Arabidopsis thaliana: one gene and its partners. The protein of the gene in region 3 purifies or fractionates together with the protein of the main gene of each other region. This does not show direct contact. Each region holds a gene or a part of one and is shown on either strand. Other genes may lie near its edges.

Region 1 (6,752 bases), on a different chromosome or scaffold from region 3:
CCCAATCGATTTCTCGTGGCACAAAAAATGTTGTTGAATCGATGGACCTATTTTAATTGGGCATTACTTCCTTAGCCACGAAAGTTGTTAAAATCCATGTTTGAATAACATATGATTTATAAATTATACACAAATTTCTTAAAATTTTACTTTCAATACACCCCCTTTAAAGTTTGCTTAAATTTATAGGGGTAAAGGACGTGAGTTCGAGTACTCCTCTTAGCAATTCTTTTGATTTTTTTCTTCTTTCTTCTTCATCCCTTGTTAACGGCTGTTAGCTTCCGGATTTGATATCACCAATAGTTTATATACGAAGTATTTTGAAGCTACAAATAATTAGATGAGATATTTTTATTTCAACAAAAAGTATTAGGTATTAAACGCTCATTTTATTATACCGGTTTTAGTACATCCTGTACTGTTGCGATACATGGTTAGTGATCAGAATAGTAAACTTGAATTGGTCGGATTAGTAACTGCTTAGTGCTTACCATTGTTACCAGTTTTTTTTTGTGCCGATTTGATAAAACATTAAGCTAAAGCAGTACAAATCCTTAGCGCTTTCTCTTATCCATAAAAACAATACCTCTAAAAGATTCATGTCCTAGGATTCCTATAAAACAAGAACTAACCAACATATAAAGTAACTATGGCATTGATTTTCACAATTTTTGAACAACTGAAGATCATGAGAGTAACAAAGCTCTAAAGTACAAACAAAAAACCCAGAGATGGAGCAAAGTGAATGCAATACAGATGAAGAAGCCGTAAAGCGATGAGCTAAACGACGACGATTATTAATCAATATAGTTGTAAAATCAGCTAAAAATGAAGAGAAGTTAGAAAACAACTCCAAGCTAAGTATGATACTACTGGCTTCTCCCTTGTTTTTTCACTTGCCTTCTCAACAAAGCTCCAAAGATTCTTCTCAGGGACTTTCTGTTTCTCTTTTGCATGATTAACTAATATGATGAAATAACAACATATCCATAACCTTCAACTTCTAAGTTTTTTTGTTTCCTTTTTTAAAAAATAAAATCCATTCTAGAGATTATGATTTTCTTTTGTTGACTTGCTACCTCTTTGAACTCAGAAGGGAGCCTCCAGTGACGAGTCATCCCAAACCTCAGCACTTCCATTGGATGCATCTTCAACATCTTCTTCCATTGATAGCCGAATATACTCTCTATGTGCAAAACGGTCCCAGTCTGTCAATGTCGGGTTCTCGCGCTCCTGTTTTCGTTTGACATTTGAAATGTTATAAGAGGCCCATTGTGTCAAGAAAACAGCAAGGTTGAATATCAAACGTGGAGTAGTACCTGACGAATGAGGAACGGATCCCGGGTTTCAAATGCCATAAATTTGTTTAGATTAAAAAGGATGTTGAAGACGTTTCCAGAGAGCTTTGAGCCTTTCAGGTCATGCAGCGTTATATGGCTTTCGTTCTGTGGAAGGAAATAAAAAACAATCAAACACAAGACAAAATCGCAAGAGTCAGAAAGAAAAACTGGGAACCCAAACTACTTCTGTGACTGTCATATATCTTCCTTAATATAGAAAGAAAAAAACAAGAGACATATTGTTGAACCTCAGGTCCGATCATATCAATCATCTGACATAAGATATCCTCGAAAAGAACAGCCTCTTGCGCCATGCACTCCATTCTATGCAACTGCTCTTCATAAAAGAATTGCATCTCATTTCGCGTTATAATCCCATTTGCATCCAAGTCTATGCACTTAAACCTAGTCCAACGTATACTTGTGTCAGATAAAAAGACTTAAAATCGTATCTGTCTGCAACTTTCGGACCCTTATATCACAACTTACCAATATTCTAGGCTAGGCACTGACGATTTATCTTCTTCCGCAAGAATGAAATAGACAAAGTCTTCATACCCCATCTTCCCTTCAACTTTGCTAGTGAACTTCCTAGCAACCTAAGTAGAAACCAATGCATTATCCATGATGACAGTCCTCTTAAGAGTAATAATAACTTTGAACGAGGACAGAACTCTTAAATGGAAGCAATATAAACAAAATCCTCAAGTAGAAAGATTTTTTAGACAGAACCTGGGAGAATATTCTGTCGACAATCCGGTAGGTAAGAGCATGGTTTCCATATCTCATAAGATTTTCTTTGTCAATCAGGAAATCGTGATCCGTATCCAGCTCCCAGAACTTGCAGTATATGACATAGAAATGCTCATATGAGAAGTATCTATTTGCCAAAGTAAGTAGAAAAGTCATGTTAAATGAGCAGAAACAATACCATATATACAACAATAGCACAAATTTGTTTTTGTCAGTACCTCAACACTTTGTTAATATCTTCTTCTTCATCAGCATGTAGCATAGCATCAATTAAGTTTCCCCGTTTAAGCTCCCTAAATGTAATTCGACCATTGCCAGATCTATTTATGTAGTAAAATATTCTGTAGGTGACAGTTTCAGCTGTTTCATCAAAATGCAAATTGTATCAGCATGTAGCATAGCATCAGCTGTTTCATCAAAATACATGATTCATAAACAAGCTCCAGATTTTTTTTTTTTCTCTAATATTGATTCATCTGCAGGATTCATAGACAGAAGATGATTCATGCCGTGCTTGAAAGCTTTATGGATTTGCAAGTTATAAGATGATGTCTAACACAACACAACACAACAAAGAAACCGTATCTTATAAAATGTTTCAAATCCATACAGAGTAATACCACATTTATTAGTGTATCTTGATGCATCAATTATCAAAATTATCTTATTTCACTAGAAATACTATTGATGTGGTAACCATTCGACAGATTTAGATAAGTACATCATACCGAAAATGGCAAACTTATTCACTCATTCTTCTCAACTAGGGCTGTAGCTAACCATATACTTCGAAGAATAAAATGTACAACCAAACTCAATTACTAAACACCATTACTCAAGCAATACCAAGCAGAAAAAGAATACATTAGATAAATTAGGAAATGTAAATGAAGTTGAGACCTAACCATATCTTTCTTGGAATTCAGGTGTGGATTGCAGGAACTCTAGGCCAGGATGCGTCGCCAACAGTTCTTTAAGTAGTGGTTTGAAATCATCCTGCCATGAAAAAAAGAAAAGAAAAGAATAGAATCTGGAGTATAAACTCGCTTTCATGACTGACTGAATATGCAAATCAAAAGAAAATTACCTTAACAATGAAACTCTGATCTTTCTGCTTTAGGATCTTGAAGATTTGGGTCGTTGTATCCATTATCAACATGTTCCCGTTTACCCAAAAATCAATAAATGCATCTCTGTAGAAACAAACACGACAAAACTGTTATACTGGGTGGTGTTTCAGTAAACTATGCAGACATGAAGAGGAAGCACCATACAAAAAAAAAAGCATAGAAGCAGCAGCACACACCTAGTAACAAAACCTGTATTGTTGAGATCGATCTTCCGGAAAAGGGAAGTGGAGAAGAAAGATGGGAGCTTGCAGATTTCTCTGGTGACTAACTTGAATTCTGAGTATTGATTGAAAATGGAGAAAAAAGTTAATAAACAGTTAAAATATAAATAGTAGAAAACAAATGACTGACTTCTAACCTTGTATCTGCAAGCCATCCATGTGACCATAAAAGAAGTGATTGATTCTAAACATACATTGCTCTTTAATCTCGCTTGGTGGAGGGCGACCATTTTGGAAATAAAACTAGAATCATTTCAAGTTAAGAAATCAGTGAGTTAACTCCATTCCATTACTCTATATATATAAAGAAGGAAGTAAAAGAGGAAAAGAAACCTGAGGTATAGGCTCTTTAACAGGCTCGTTGACTACTTTGAGAGTAGAACCTAAGTTAGAAGGGGCTCTCTGTTTGGTTGTACGGGGTGAACCACAACTTCTTGGTGAAAGAGGAGGAGCGCTTCCCGCAGGAAACATAGATGGTATAGTGGCAGAATTAGAACCCGATGCACTTCCAGTAACATTGATAGGAGCTCCAGCTACAGCATCCTTAAGCAATGATCCAACCTAGAAAACCGATTAGGAAACGAGAAAAAGATTAGACTAGAGATTCCAGTGAATAGAGTAATTAACCTCAGTAACCTCCTAAGGCATCATTGTCATAACTCACACAACCCAAGAAAGATTCAACACCACAGAGTAAATCTCAGTAACCTAAGCATCATTGTAACACCCACTAACACTATCAAAGAAAGATTCAAACTTTACACCAATGCTCAACAGAAGCCAGAGAGTAATTAAGATTATGAAAGAAAGATTCGAACTTTACACGAATCTACAACTCACACAGAGTAAGCTAAGCATCATTGTAATAACTAACACTATCAAAGATCTGAACTTTACACCAATCCTCAACAGAAACAAATCTCAGTAACCTAAGCGTCTTAACTCACACTATCCAAAAAAGATTCAAACTTCATCACAGTAACGTAAGCATCAATGTAACACTCACCAACAGTATCAAAGAAAGATACGAACTTTACACCAATCTAACTAACACTATCAAAGAAAGATTCGAACTTTACACCATTCTCAGTAACCACCTAAGGCATCATTGTAATACTCACTAACACTATCAAAGAAACAAAAAAAAAGATTCAAACTTTACACCAGAGAGTAATTAAGCAACCAAATCTCAGTAACAACCTAAGGCATCATTGTAATACTCACTAACACTATCAAAGAAAGATTCAAACTTTACACCAATCCTCAACACAACAGAGTAATTAAGCAACCTAAGGCATCATTGTAACACTATCAGAGAAAGATTCGAACTTTACAGGAATCTACAAGTAACAGAGAGTAAGCTAAGAAGCATGAGTGTAAGAATTGTGAAGGCAATTCAAAAGGCAGAAACCTGTCGCTGAGCTTCGGGAAGAGAAAGCCACTGGTCGAAGAGCTTCTGAGTGAATCCAGGTTTAGAATTGAGAACAAAGGAAGACATTTCCTGAAGCTGCAACAAATCTGCATCCAAACAAGCCATATCTCCGGGAATAACCGTATCCACCATATTTAATCAATCGCATCAAAGTCGAGAAGATGAGAGAATGATCTTTGAGGCGAACGAAATTGGAATTTTGAACAAAGTCGAGATCTTCTTCACCAACACATCGAATCTAGTCTTCCTTCTTCTCCGATTCCGAACAAGGAAATGAGACAGCCAAATTCTTTTATTTATTTATTCTTTTGAGCAATCTGAAATAAATAAATAAATTAGAGAGATACCCAAAAAATACTTGAAACAGAAAAAGTTGATTTTAAGGGTTTATAATTTATTAAATGTTTGGGTTTGAGTTAAGTTTTTTGGGGTTTAGGGTTTATTTTTTAGAGTTTAGGATCTAGTTTTGAAAACTTTAAAAGTAATTTTGTGGTATTTTCAGAAAATAATATATTTTAGTGGTACTTTCAAAAAAATATAAACTACTAATAATGTTTTATAATAAAAATTAATTTTATGGTATTTTAAAAAATATGTCCATAAATAAATTAATATTTCGTTGACTAAATAATAAAAATAAGTAAGTGTATTTGAAGTAGAAGTTTTTTTTCTCAACATGTGGTTGAATTCTTGATTTTTTCTATATTTTGTCAACCACACATTAGTTAAAATATTACTTCATAATTGGTAGTCCAATCTTAAGGAAAAATATTTACGAAACAAATTTCATATAATATACTATCTAGAGTAACGAGTTAGACAATCTACCTTATACAAGAGCCATGAATTCTAGAAAGAAAAAAAGTTTTATATATCATATAAAAAATACTTGACGAATGAGAAACATATGATGTGTTTCATATCATGTTTTCCATATTTCATAAGGTTTTCTTTGTCAATCGGGAAATCGTGATCTTTATCTTTATCACATAAATTATAATATATGACATAGAAATGCTCTTATGAAAAGTATTTTGTTGCCAAATAAATAGAAATGTGTTGATATCAAAAAAACTGACACAAAACTATAGTTTGCAAATACGTGTAACTTAAAGTCTGACTCAATATTTATAACAACAAGAAAAAAAAACTATTTTTGTTAGTATCTCAACACTTTGTTGATATCTTCTTCTTGATCACCATAAAGCATATCATCAATTAAGTTTCCACGTTTAAGCTTTCTAATTGTATGTAGATCATATCTAGATCGATTTATGTCATAAGATATTTTATAGGTAACTATTTCAACTAGCCCATGGAAATAAAAATTGCATTCTTGAAAACCTGAGACATGGTAAAATCTAATCAGGTTCACATAATTTTTCTTGACTAAATCACATATCATATATAATTCATGTACTTTTACCAAATTTAGCAAAATTATCCCCTTATTAACAACATTAACTAGGGAAAAGAAAAACTATAGTAGTCATTTAGCTATGGAAGACAACAAAAATGATCATTCTCTATATGGGAGACTGCCATGTCATGCTTGCCAGCCCTAGAGAATCGAAAGGTAATAGAAGATGTTTAACACAACAAGAAAATCTTATTTTAGAAAGTTCATATACAAACTTGCAAGTCATACACTGTAATACCACATTATCCCGATGTACCAACGATGAAATTAATCTTAGGCATCTAGTAATGATATTAATGAGAGAAATTGTTAAGTGATATTTTTAACATTTTTTTTAGGTTTATTATGTTTTATCAACTCTTTATTCGGAAACAAGTCGTTTTGGATGTTTTATCAACTATAAGCCAAACCCTGTATTTCGCGATCTACCGAACAGATGCTCTATGGGGAGTAAGC
Region 2 (5,805 bases), on a different chromosome or scaffold from region 3:
AGTCTTCCACGCCGATCAATCTCAACGCCGCAACCTCTTGTCCAACCCGAGCACCGATCGAGAGAGCTTTTGATTGATTTGAGAGAAGACCGCGATCGCTGAGACGTCGGAAGAAAGTGGAGAACACACGAACTTTCCTGTCCCAGTCGCGCGTTGTCCATACCTTACGTAGCTTCGGGTTCTGAGTTTTGTTGAGCTGGTGTTTGATGTATGCTTCGTAGGAGGAGTATCCATGGTGACGGATCCGTATTCCTTCGTCGGCAACGGAGGTGACGGAGGAAGAGGAGGAGAGAGGACGGCGGAGGAATGTGGTGGGGAAGGCGAAGAGGAAGATGATGAGAAAAGAGAGGGAGAGGAAGAGAGAGAGTGTGAAGGGTAGTTTTGGTATTACGAATTTCATGTTAGCTTCGAGACTTCCCTTCCTTGTTGTCTCTGTGTGTACATCGAAGCATATATGGGAATTTATTTAATTAAAGAAATGATTAAAGTTTGGATCATAATTAGAAAAACACCAAATGCAAATAATATAGTTTGTTTTGTCTAATTGTCATCAAGGCATTATTATTGACTCTGAATTGAAACTTGATCCAATATAGCCCCAAAGTTCCGTTGGACTAAATTCAGAGCAATAAAAAGGTCCTCTGAAGAAAAAAGTTAAACATTCGTGAAAAGATAAGCTCCCTGGGCAGAATTCTCAAAGCCTAAAAGTGCAAAACAAAACAACCACAGGGATGCTCAAGAGAGAAAGAGACTTGTACATTCTATCAGTTTTTTTTAGTTCACACACCATTTGGGATATCTCCTCTTGATCTCTAGCCTACATTAGCATCTTCAGTTAGGGAAGTTAAAAACGACGACGAAACCCAACCATTCTTCTTCCCATACTCCACGTAGTCGTTGAATTTCTCCTTTGCGTTTGGGATGTCTAAAGCAAGATCTTCAAGTCCGTCTTTGACTCTTGTGAACCCTTTGGTCATCTGGTTTGTGGTTATGAGTCCTTCACTGAAACTCTCCTGCAGAAGATCCAGCATCATCTTGTCCTTCTTCTTCTCCATACCCATCACCAGTGCTTTCTTCACCACCTCATGGTTGAAGAAAGGCATGCCTAGCTCATGGATGCATTTGCATGCTTCTGATACCAGCCCTGAGCTTTCGTATTCCTCCAGGAGATTTGATATCTTGTCCTTTGCATCTTCCACTGCCCAACCGCTCCCACCTCCCCAGCATCTTAGAAGCCTCTCTCCTGCATGTCGAGCAAAGATGAGTGACCTAGCCATCTTCACGGTTTCAGTTCCGCTTGAGTTAGGGCGTAGTTTGCTACTGATCTCTTCCAGGTTAAAAGGTGCTAAAACATCATCGATCACAGCTCTAGCTAAGAACAGAGCAAGTTCGTTGGACGCATCCAGAATGTCAAGAGCTGTATCTTCTGCAGACTCCAGGAGCATGACGAAACCATCTGCAACATCTTCTGTGGTGAACATCTCGATGTGAAGAGATGAGAGAAGAACAGATGCCATTTCTTTCTCGTGATTCTTCCTGTCCAAAGCAAGTGTTATCAGCTTCTTTAGAAAAATTGGGTTGTACTCGGGTGCTCCTAAATCCTCAAGACTGCGTATGAGTTCTGGTATGTCATCAGAGTTGAAATACTCATGAATGATGGTCACAATGTCTTCCTTGAACCGCTTTAGTTTCTCATCCTCGTTCTGTTGTCGTCCACATTCACCAGAGGGATAACCAAACGAAGCATCAAGCCAACCACCTGAGACAGCTTTTGGCACAATCAAACCAAATTTGGTTCTAGCTGAAGGAATGTCAAGAGCAAGATCATCAAGGCTTTCTCTTAATCTTGAAAATCCCTTCACCATTTGACTAGAGCTTATCAGGTTTTCTGAAGCTGCTTCATTTAGCAGTTTCAATACAGGTGCTTCTGCTGCGTGGTTTTCCAAGGCAGTAACTAAGGCCCTCTTCACAACCTCATGGTGAAAGAAAGAAACACCCAACTCTCTTACGCAACGACATGCCTCATAAGTCTCTCCAGTCTCCACATATTCATTCAAAATGTCAGCAATCTTCTTCTTGACTTCCTCAACAGTGGTTCGAGTCTGTCCACCCCACCTTCTTTCTACTAGCTCAGCATGGTGTGCAGCTGATAGATAGCTTTTCTCTGCAGTTTGGACAACCTGGTAACCTTTAGAAGTTATTGGAAGTGCCTTGGCAGCCCTAGGAAGAAAAGCTGGAGGAAGTATGTCATCCACGACAGCACGTGCAAGGAACAAAGCAAGAACATTGACAGCATCAGGTATATCCACCACAAAGTCATCGGCTGACTCGAGCAGCAGGACAAATCCATCTCTTATCTGGTTCGGGTTAATGACATCAGCATACAATGCGGAAAGCAAAACCGAGGCCATTTCCTTCTCTTTGTCATGCCTGTCCATCGCTACCGAGACAAGCCGCTTGATGAAGTAGGGATGATATTCACTTGAACCAAGTTCAATGAGGTCAGCTGCTGCCACATCAACATCACCGGTGCTGAAGTATTCGTTAATGATGGAAGCTGCAGCTTTCTTGTAATCATCTAATGGGTCTGACAGAGTTGCACCAACAAGCTCGAATGGTTCCTATAAAACAAAAAAAAACACAAAGAGAGCTGAGACTGATGATCTCTAAAAAGTAACACACAATGGATAAATTTTCTACATCATCTGAACAGCAGATGGACAACAGAAACAGTTTTGTGCAAGTACTTTGGCAAGAAAATAATCAACCATCTAGTACGAAAGGTGCAGAAACTACCTCTCCACTGTCATAATTAGGATCATTCGGGTCAATGTGATAGTCTCCATCAGTGTCAATAAGTTTTCCCCAATTTCCTTTCCCACCACCTCCATCTGAAACAAAATTTATCAATCACCGCTACCCGAAGAACAAAGGAAGTATAAATATGCAATCTACACAATTTTCAGCTCCAAATTTGACTAAGAGCCATCCCTTGACACTTGATGGTTTAGAAACCCAAATCTAAACTGATAAAGGTAGTAACTGACCCTTCTTAGAGCGAATAGACCTTCCCGCATGAGACCTTCTGTGCTTCACAGCATTTGACGCACCAGAAGCTTTCCCACCACCAGATGGTTTAGGCAGATGCTCAAGTAAAACCGAGTGAGGTTTTTGTGAGGGTGGAAGATCATCTGCAGTCTGAGTTGCAACTTTCATCATCTCTCTCTGCTGATCCGTTAGGAAACCCTCCATCCTTGGCAATTACCCTAACAGTGAAACATCATCAAATCATTCCTTTAACAAACACATACCATACAATAAATATCAACCTAAAACCAAAACAGCATATAGCTAAAACCACAAGACACTGATGTGAAACGACATAAATGGAGATCTAAAATCACCAATCCATAATACAGAAGCCTATGCATCCCAAGGTTTCATCAAATTCTTCTACGTGTCATTCTTCACATATTTCTACAGCAATCAATCAATTAATCATTCCCGTGACTAAATGCCAAAACCAAAACATCGGAGAAATGTTTGAAACTCCAAGTACCAGTAACTGTTAATGTTCAAATCGCCTCGTCGTCAGCCAAACTATCCACAAAGCAGACCGTCGTACGGAAAAAGAGCAGGCGAGATCCGTGGTAAGAAGAAAGAGGACGGAGGCTAGATCGAAAAGAAGAACCCGAGTCTGAAGCTGCGTAAGCTATCCTGGAAAATAGTAGTAATGTTTGAGAGAAGATTGTTTGGAGAAGAAGATGGATTTGGGAATTTTGGGAGGAACAAAAAGCTTACAGAAATGGAGGCTGCTGATTCTCATCAAAGGTCTCATCATAAGGACTGTTGCCACGTGTTACTGTCTCAACGGTCACGATTGCTCGTTACATGTGCTGGCCTGTCCAAGAGAGATATCGATTAGGGTTATGGATTTAATTTTGGAGTTTTCCTACCAAAATAGTGAAACCAGATAATTTATAAATATCTCTCTGTCAATATCTTATCCCAAATTACTAAAACCTTATCCAAATTATGTTTCTAATTTCAAATCAGTTTATTGAAAAAATTAAACATTATCCACTTTTTGTAACAAAAAAGTTGAAGACTAATGTATTCACTTTATTCTGATTCGTTTTAATGAATGAGATAATTTGTGAAAACATAATGAGCTCAGTCAATAAAAGGGTCCAAAGACAGTAAAATTCAGGTCTGTTAAAGGAGTGATTAGTATATGCTAATCTAAAATATGGTCTTGAAACACATTTTGCAACTATACATTTTTGTGTCACATTGTCCTAAACAATGGGTTTGCTAAAACCTATTGGTTCCACTTCCACAAAATGGGTATTACCCTCATCGAGCTCCCTTAATTAGCTGCAGTGCTGCAGGGAAGGACTCGGCCGATAAGCCGTGAGCTCTTGCTGTTCTGTGTCTCGCTCTGACCCTATAAGACATGTATCATCATCACAAATTAGAAACACCAAAAAGGTACAGACAGAGATCTGAAACCGAATTCTTAGGCATAGTCGAGATGTTTACCTTGCCTAGGGGAGTCTTCTTCCAACACAACACATCAGTGTCATCTTCTGGCCTGCACAAAGTCAGAGGCAGAGTATACTTGAGTAGCTAGCCAAATCACAAAACAACTTACTTTTGAAATGAATAAATATGAACCATGTTTTACCTTTTTTCACCCGGAGGAATGTGTGGAGTACACATAGCAGAAGTTGCATCGCCTTGATCACTGGAACAGCTCATACGCGATGATGCATTGGCTGAAGAACGAACACTTCGAGCCCTCAAGACATTTCCTTGGCAACTTCTCAGAGAATTTGTAACTGCAGGCTTTTCAGATGCGCAGTCAGAGTCGGTTCTTGTAGTCAAATACGACTTGTGAAGCATTCTACGAGAACAACTGAAAAGTCCAAAGAAAAGACTTGCTGCTGCTTTAGCACTCTTTGGTGGAGAACACGCAGAGATAACAAGATTCATTTGGATCTCAACGTTGCATCCTAACACAGATTGGAACGAGTCTGCAATCAATTTCCATGATTTCTCGGCTCTTGCTACATGTTGAGGTGTGTAGAATTCTAACTCAGCTATTGCCACACCTGAAAAGAAAAAAGAATATGCATTTACTTATCTGAGACACAAGCCAAAGTAAAACTTTCAGACCATCTTTGGGAAATATAAGTTACCTTTGTCAACAGTAAGTGAAGTCAACCTTCCTCGTTTCCACAGAAATCTCTTTAGTGAATCAGAACAACACAAATCTGTAACCGTTTTCCACACAGATTCAACTGTTTCATTACAGTTTCTCTCTTGACCCTTCTCGGCATCTGATTTAATAACATCACCAGGACAACCTGATGATGTGCTGGAGAGCTCAACGTCTAGATACATGACCAAGGGTAAGTTATATATAGTTAGTAACCAAGACAACACGAAAAAGAAGCATGAAATAAAGGAAACGAGAATTTATGAATTAGGACCTTTGTTTATTTGGTTTCTTCCATTTTCATCTGTTGCAAAAGATGATGAGTCGGTGTTACTAAGTTGCAAAAGTGCCACAGTGAGCCAAGTTGTCTGGTTTTTCGATGCTCTCAAGTGTTTCTCAGCATCAGATAGTATCTTCAATGCATTTCTCAATTTCTGCATTTCTTCTTCAGCTATATATAGTAGAACAGTATATGATAAAGAGTGAGATCAGGTTTTAATTTGAAGCTGATATTCAAAGTAATCATCACTGGGGTGCTTACATGTATGCCTTGTAAGAAACCGAAGTCTGGTTGCTGAACTACT
Region 3 (6,797 bases):
TCTGGAATTAGGTACTGCATCATCGTCATCGTTCTTCTTCCAAACTCTTGGTTACGTAACTATTAAGCCAGAATCATAAACAACATAAATAAACTGAAGCCGAGAAACAAGAGAAGACTCTATAATATTTGTGTTGTCGTTTAAATAATTCAGATATTATTTGTAATTTCCTAATCCTATTGCGAGTCGAAAACTGTTGGAAGATCAAATAGAAATATTAAGGAAATTTCGTAGAGTTTTGAAATAGCGAGAGAGGTGTGTGCAAGAGTGGTGAAAAATAATCAACAAAATTTGTAAATAATCAAACAGAAAACGTCAATAACACATATATATTGAACTTTTCGAGGGAAGTTCCTAGGTCAATAATTCTCCGTAAGTGCCTTCTACGACAAGGTTTTGACTTTTGATAAAATAGTCTTCTAGTTAAAAAGACAACAACGACCTGAATCTGATATGTGGAGTATAAAAGCCCATGGGCTTGAAAACGACTCAATAAGTTGGTTGACCAATTAAAATATTCCAGTGGTGACCAATTGTACACTCATGCTTCGAGCAAAAACGTTGCCGAATCACTTGATAAGTAAATTATTTGGACTAAACAAAATTAAGCACCAAAAAGCAAATACGCCCAACGAACAAATCACAGAAAACATGAAGCCAACATTAACATTAGTAGCAGAGAGAAACAATGGTCACGTACGTGTAAAGTAAAAGACAACACACGACAAAGTATCGTTTACAAAATCTCATGAGAACCAAACACAATTCGTTGCTGTCTTCTTTACCTTTTTTTAGCTAGACATCATCACATTGTCAATAGATTGGAGAGCTTGATTTGCGAAATACCGAACATCAACATCTGGGTCTTCACTTAGCTCCACCAAGCATGGCCGTATCATGTTCTCCACAACCTTTCACAACCAACAAAAATGAAAACATTTGAATATATGGACGTTTAGATTCCCTGATGAGGAGGATAATGTGGAATCATAAGCTGTTTCTTTACTTGTGAGAGCCAACAAAGAATGTATACTAACCGCTTGGTCGACTATCGGAATGAGAGATTGCATCATTTTGGCCACGTTAAATTTGATGTTTGGAACTCTGAAAGAGGAGGAGAGAGTGGTTCTTTTAGTTAGCTATTGGGAAAAAAATTGAGTCAATGAGATTTCATGTTAAGAGAGAGACTTGCCTGTCTTTAGATGCAGTTATTACCGCAGGTAAGAGTTTGGAACATGTGATCTCGGATCCCATTACTGGAGCGAGAAGCGATACTGCACGAAGAATCGTCATCCGATATAGATAGTGTGGGTTGTTAATCATCTCTAGAACCTGAACAAGTAAATATACTCCAATAACCAATAGCTAAAATGCTCGATTTGAATTGAAAACATACTATATGCTTAAGATTTCTACACAAACCTGAGGAACTATATGCTGCATTGCCCATTCAGGACCAAACTCTTCAGCAAGACGCTTCAGATTGTTTGCAGCAGCTTCACGGATTGAGTGAACCTGACAATTTATAATTATTTCAAAATTTCAAGCAGTAGAGACGACAAATTTATTTATCTGGATGATTCAATGAAGGTAGAGAATGAGGGACCTTGTCTTGTAACCATTGCATGCAAAGAGCACCAAGCTTCTCATCAAAGAAGCCTACACCTAATTGACTGGCCAACAAGGGAATATACTCGATTATAGCCAGACGTACTCTCCAGTGCCTGTCTTCAGCAAGTTCTACAATGGCTGGCAGTAACGATTGTGATAGTAGATCAATCCCAATAACCTGGCAATTTTAAGGAAAAAAAATCGAATCATTATGAAAAATGGATGGACAAAGAATTTGCTGTCAAGTAGTCATTGACTTGACCAAAACATGATACAGCTCCTTTGAACATGTGGGAAAAAATAGAAACCCAATGTCGTACAAAGAGATGAGTAACTTGGTCAATAGCAAACCTGGTTCACTTGGTCAAGTTTGCTGATAATGTTTAAGCGTACATCAGGAAATTCGTCTTTCAATAGAGAAAGAAAGATTGGAAGAAGATGCTCAATTGTTGCATCCTGAAATGAATATCAATGCCAAGTTAAAAGCTGCAAAATCCAACTAAATATCTTGTGTAGAAAAACATAGTGAGGTTTTCTTATATAGATTATTGTTGCGAGAACCTTCCAGGCACAGTTAAAAAAATTCCTAAAGATGACAGTGACTAGGACGAAGAAGATATATAGATGGTTTCAAATAAAAGAAAAAATCTTTATCTCTAAGATGCTAAATACATAGAATATTATGAGCTTACACTCCAAACTATAGAGCCAAATGAATTTTTGTATAGATGACAGTATTCATGATATGAGAGGCAAATTGTATCGGTTTTTAATTCTGCTTACCTTACCCAAGACTGGAGCCATTCCCATTATAACTGATGCCAATGCAGATCTGACGTGCTGAGAAGAGTCTGATGATAATTCCTACGTGTAGATTTATAGGTAAGCTTAGCAAACACCGACAGTATTTTGGTCCTTTGCATAATATGAAATCAACACACTCTTCTTAAGTGTGTACCTTTACACAGGGAAGAATGTGCTGGATAGCGAGTTCAGGGTTTAAAATGCGACAAAACTTGGTAACTTTTCCAGCAGCTGCTATCCGAACTTCTGCCTCATTATCACAAAGTAGACGAGCATATGCAGGCACCAGATCCGTCCTTAATACATAAGGCACATGAGAAAGTATAAAAAACGACTCAAAGAAATTTATTAAGATGACTCAACAAACATGGACTTCCAAGTACCAAATACCTCTGAAGTCAGTAATCTATTGTTTGATATAGAATTGCATACTAAAGGTCAATACTACATTAAACCATAACTAACTTCAACCATCACTGCTTACCTAGTTGGCTCCGGTCCTACAGCTTCACAAAGTTCATAGAGCTGATTTGCAACCATATAACGCACACGCCAGGACTTATCCTGCTCAAAGACGAAAAAAATCAAGATAAAGCAGCTCATACATATCTGCCTTACAGCTTTCCCATAAAGCTCATCAATAGAATTTTTTTATCATATTCACACATTTATTTACCTGCGAGAAATTGACAATCACAGGAAGAATGTGTGCAACACAGTCCTGGGGCTCCAACAATTTCCCAAGAGCAGCACAACCCTCAACAGCCAATAATCTAACCGAATCTTGATCTGATATCAATGTCAATAAGATACTTAAAATCTGTAATATTATAATATAAAAAGACACTGAAGCTGAGATGTAGACAACCGTAATTCTGCTTAACTTCAGCTAATGGTCAGTGTTCAATGCAGTAACCCTAATACTTGCCTATTACACATCAGCCACCCCCATAACTAGGCTTGATGAAAATTGTAAGAGTATATGCTGGAAAAACGAAACATATAATAAGGGAGAGCATACCATCTTGCGTAAGATCCTCAAACATGGACATAATGTCTGTCTTCAAATGAGCTGATTCAATTGTAGCAGCAAACTTCCCCAAATTAGTTGCTGCAGCTCTGCGCACCATTGGCATGTCATCTTGACAAAGCTGACCATATATTGATCTTAGCTCCGTCTTTAGCACATCTGGGGCACTTGGGTATGCAATATGGAAAATCCCACATGCTGATACTCTGGCTGTGAACCATTCACCAGCTGAAAGTCGCTGTTACACAATGACAGTGTTCAGTAATGCTTAAGTCGGTTTCACATTACGAGCACCTATACCGAGGTATGTATGGTCACATACACAACCACAACCCAAAAGAGCGCTAAAGCCAGAGCGATGTTCTCTTAGATCAACCAAAATGGATGTAAACAACTTCAACCTACCAATTTCCCAAAACACCTATAAGGGGAACACTGAACAAGAAAAGCATATTTCCAAACTTTGGGGGACAATTGACAAAGGACCCCAAAAAATCTATGTTCTTCTGTTTTAGTGGCTTAATAATATTAAGTTTGACAGAGCATGGAAAGGAATCAATAAAATCGACCAAAGAGATTTGATAAAATAAGTAAACCAGCCTTATCTAACCTTAGCCAGAGGAGTGAAATGCTCAACCAAGTCACTCTCCCTCATCTGAGCACCAATTCTACAAAGTGAATCCACAGCTTTCTCCCTCACGCAAGTTTCCTCAACAGTGGATAGAGTCTCCAAAGGTGGAAGCAGAACATATGCATACTCAACCCCTCCTACATACAGAATAAAACCCCCCAACTCTTCCGCCATAGCCAAAAGCACCTCATCGTCATCGTCATTGTTCTCACTAAGAAATGGAATCAACTCTTTTCTTGTCCTCTCCTCTCCAAGAGCACGAGCAATGATAGAAAGCCGTTTAATAGAGTTCAATCTACGCTGAATATCATCGTTTTTTAGCTCGTCGATAAGCACAGCAATCGGGTATAAAGGCTCATCAACCATAGACATCCTCACCAAAACTCAAATCACTCCCTACCTTCAATCAAACACAAATGTACACAAAGTCAGAATAAAACACAATGCATACATAGACACCATCAATACAAAAGACGATAAAGTTACAAACTTTAAACTCAATTCCGCCTCTGAGATAATTCAAAGGTGACCCATTAGCCTCTAAAAAATGATTAGAATGGAGAACTGAAACTTTGTGCCGTCCCAATCTAGAGAGAAACTATTACCATTCTTAGACTAATAAAGAGAGAAGATCTAAACAATAATTCGATTTGAGATTCTCAATATACAATTGGAAAATGTTTCGAAATTGAAGAAATGATCGAGAATTTACCGATTACGCTGCTTTCCAAGTTCCGAGCGATCTATCAATCAGAAGAACGAGAAATGAGACCGGAGCTCGTCTTTCGCAGCAGCTAAACCATCTTCAAGCTGTGTCCATATAATTGGGCCTGTCAAAGATAAGAACTAAATGGGCTTATGTATAATACATAAAGGCCCATATATCCAACAAATACGACTTCGTTTAATATCTCTCTCGTATAAAGGAAGCTTCTCAGTAACTCTCTTCTTCTTCCTCAGAAAATATCGGAAAAGGAAAAAAGTTGCTCTCGCTTCAGGTTTTTTATTTCCCGCCAATTATTTCGACAAAAATGGCTCCTAAATCGGATAACACCGAAGGTATAATGATATAATCTCTGAAAAAAATCTGCTAGTTCTCTTTGATCTTATTCCTCATTTTGATTTCTCTCTTATTTACTTGTTTCCTGAATTTTTTATTTCTGCAGCTATCGTACTCAACTTTGTCAATGAGGTAAGCACTTCTCTGCGATTCTACATTTTTGCTTTAATTCTAAACGGAGATCACAAACAGATACGACCATAAAAATTAGAATTCGAATTTGAAATTGAGTCTAGGTTAAGGTACGCAGTGATGTTCACATGATTCTGAATCTGGGAATTTAATCACTTGGGTTTCAATTTGTGCTATAAGTTTACACATGAATTTTTCGTTTGAAGCTATTGATATTGACTAGGTTTTAAAAATTGATTGATACAGGTTATATATATATATATATATATATATATATATATATTGCAAGTTTTGTTTCAATCTGTTGTATTATTGTTGTTAGATTTTGATGAATGTGTTGTTGGTACTTTTTTGATGCAGCAAAACAAACCTCTAAACACTCAAAATGCAGCTGATGCTCTACAAAAGTTTAACCTTAAGAAGACTGCGGTGCAAAAGGCACTTGATAGTCTTGCTGATGCTGGAAAAATCACGTTTAAAGAGTATGGTAAGCAGAAGATATACATTGCTAGACAAGACCAGTTTGAGATTCCAAACTCTGAAGAACTTGCTCAAATGAAAGAAGACAATGCCAAACTTCAAGAACAGCTTCAAGAGAAGAAGAAAACTATCAGTGATGTGGAATCAGGTGTGAAAAAACTACTTTTTCTCAGTGGTTTTGAGGATGTGATATAGCTGCTTGGATAATGTTATGTTCTGTGATGTTATTTGCAGAAATCAAGAGTTTGCAGTCAAACTTGACACTAGAAGAGATACAAGAGAAAGATGCCAAACTAAGGAAAGAGGTATATGTTTTTCTTACCTTTTGGTTTTTGTCTTTCTTTGAGTAAGGTTGTTGATAGCTTATAAAGTGATTTCAACTGTGTACCAGGTTAAGGAAATGGAAGAGAAACTGGTCAAACTACGTGAAGGGATTACATTGGTGAGGCCAGAAGACAAAAAGGCTGTTGAAGATATGTATGCGGATAAGATTAATCAGTGGCGCAAGCGTAAGAGGATGTTCAGAGACATTTGGGATACTGTAACAGAGAATTCTCCCAAAGATGTGAAGGAACTAAAGGTGCAAACTCATATTTCTTCAGGAGTTTTTTCTTACAGACTACATCAGCTTCGCCATAATTTTTGACTACTGTTACTTTGCAGGAGGAGCTTGGAATTGAATACGATGAAGATGTCGGTCTAAGTTTCCAGGCATATGCTGACCTAATTCAACATGGTAAAAAGAGGCCTCGAGGACAGTAATTTTCAGGTAAGTTCTTCGAATTTGATTCAAAGTTTTCTAGAAACGTTTCTTGTATAAACACACACATATGCAACTGTACAACATCATTGAAAGCTTATATCCATAAAGAACACAATAATCTTACATCTTTGACCACAAAAAGAACATAGAAAAGTACAAAACTGAGTGATTACACCGTAGATGCACCTGAAAAACTTATAACATTTGTACTTAGTATCCACGAACCTGTCTTGTCCTGACTGAAACTGGACCCTTCAAACCTGCTTTACGCATAATAGGATCTTCA

What was found.
Region 1: the proteins of PP2AA3 (region 3) and AT5G28850 fractionate together in Arabidopsis thaliana (co-fractionation; one large-scale study listed by BioGRID). This does not show direct contact.
Region 2: the proteins of PP2AA3 (region 3) and ECIP1 fractionate together in Arabidopsis thaliana (co-fractionation; one large-scale study listed by BioGRID). This does not show direct contact.

What each region holds. Positions count from the first base shown.
Region 1 is NC_003076.8:10,876,271-10,883,022, forward strand, and holds AT5G28850 (Calcium-binding EF-hand family protein), read right to left. Parts: upstream 5,216-6,752; 5' UTR 5,009-5,215; coding exon 4,856-5,008; intron 4,006-4,855; coding exon 3,778-4,005; intron 3,688-3,777; coding exon 3,582-3,687; intron 3,500-3,581; coding exon 3,400-3,499; intron 3,287-3,399; coding exon 3,181-3,286; exon of another isoform or gene 3,147-3,180; coding exon of another isoform or gene 3,090-3,146; coding exon 2,999-3,089; intron 2,454-2,998; coding exon 2,312-2,453; intron 2,221-2,311; coding exon 2,073-2,220; intron 1,940-2,072; coding exon 1,830-1,939; intron 1,746-1,829; coding exon 1,589-1,745; intron 1,446-1,588; coding exon 1,320-1,445; intron 1,234-1,319; coding exon 1,090-1,233; 3' UTR 518-1,089; downstream 1-517. UniProt on the Arabidopsis thaliana protein: Regulatory subunit of type 2A protein phosphatase. Involved in post-transcriptional regulation of HMGR but not in root growth regulation in response to salt.
Region 2 is NC_003075.7:12,779,910-12,785,714, reverse strand, and holds ECIP1 (MA3 domain-containing protein), read right to left. Parts: upstream 3,954-5,805; 5' UTR 3,802-3,953; exon of another isoform or gene 3,718-3,801; 5' UTR 3,405-3,717; exon of another isoform or gene 3,267-3,404; 5' UTR 3,253-3,266; coding exon 3,048-3,252; intron 2,892-3,047; coding exon 2,797-2,891; intron 2,622-2,796; coding exon 813-2,621; 3' UTR 518-812; downstream 1-517. Other genes in the region: AT4G24805 (S-adenosyl-L-methionine-dependent methyltransferases superfamily protein), read right to left, coding at 1-400; AT4G24790 (AAA-type ATPase family protein), read right to left, coding at 4,370-4,447, 4,543-4,594, 4,688-5,114, 5,202-5,396, 5,496-5,672, 5,763-5,805. UniProt on the Arabidopsis thaliana protein: Involved in target of rapamycin (TOR)-regulated translation control, especially under energy-deficient conditions. Involved in the regulation of the ethylene-mediated signaling pathway. Involved in salt stress responses.
Region 3 is NC_003070.9:4,562,901-4,569,697, forward strand, and holds PP2AA3 (protein phosphatase 2A subunit A3), read right to left. Parts: upstream 4,950-6,797; 5' UTR 4,789-4,949; intron 4,477-4,788; 5' UTR 4,449-4,476; coding exon 4,056-4,448; intron 3,847-4,055; exon of another isoform or gene 3,684-3,846; coding exon 3,437-3,683; intron 3,205-3,436; coding exon 3,092-3,204; intron 2,980-3,091; coding exon 2,900-2,979; intron 2,712-2,899; coding exon 2,570-2,711; intron 2,476-2,569; coding exon 2,395-2,475; intron 2,068-2,394; coding exon 1,963-2,067; intron 1,790-1,962; coding exon 1,607-1,789; intron 1,516-1,606; coding exon 1,423-1,515; intron 1,333-1,422; coding exon 1,193-1,332; coding exon of another isoform or gene 1,189-1,192; intron 1,105-1,188; coding exon 1,038-1,104; intron 912-1,037; coding exon 792-911; 3' UTR 528-791; downstream 1-527. Other genes in the region: AT1G13310 (Endosomal targeting BRO1-like domain-containing protein), read right to left, coding at 1-29; AHP2 (Tat-binding protein 1(Tbp-1)-interacting protein (TBPIP)), read left to right, coding at 5,108-5,135, 5,243-5,268, 5,629-5,896, 5,983-6,053, 6,140-6,328, 6,412-6,510; AT1G13340 (Regulator of Vps4 activity in the MVB pathway protein), read right to left, coding at 6,722-6,797. UniProt on the Arabidopsis thaliana protein: The A subunit of protein phosphatase 2A serves as a scaffolding molecule to coordinate the assembly of the catalytic subunit and a variable regulatory B subunit. Involved during developmental process such as seedling and floral developments.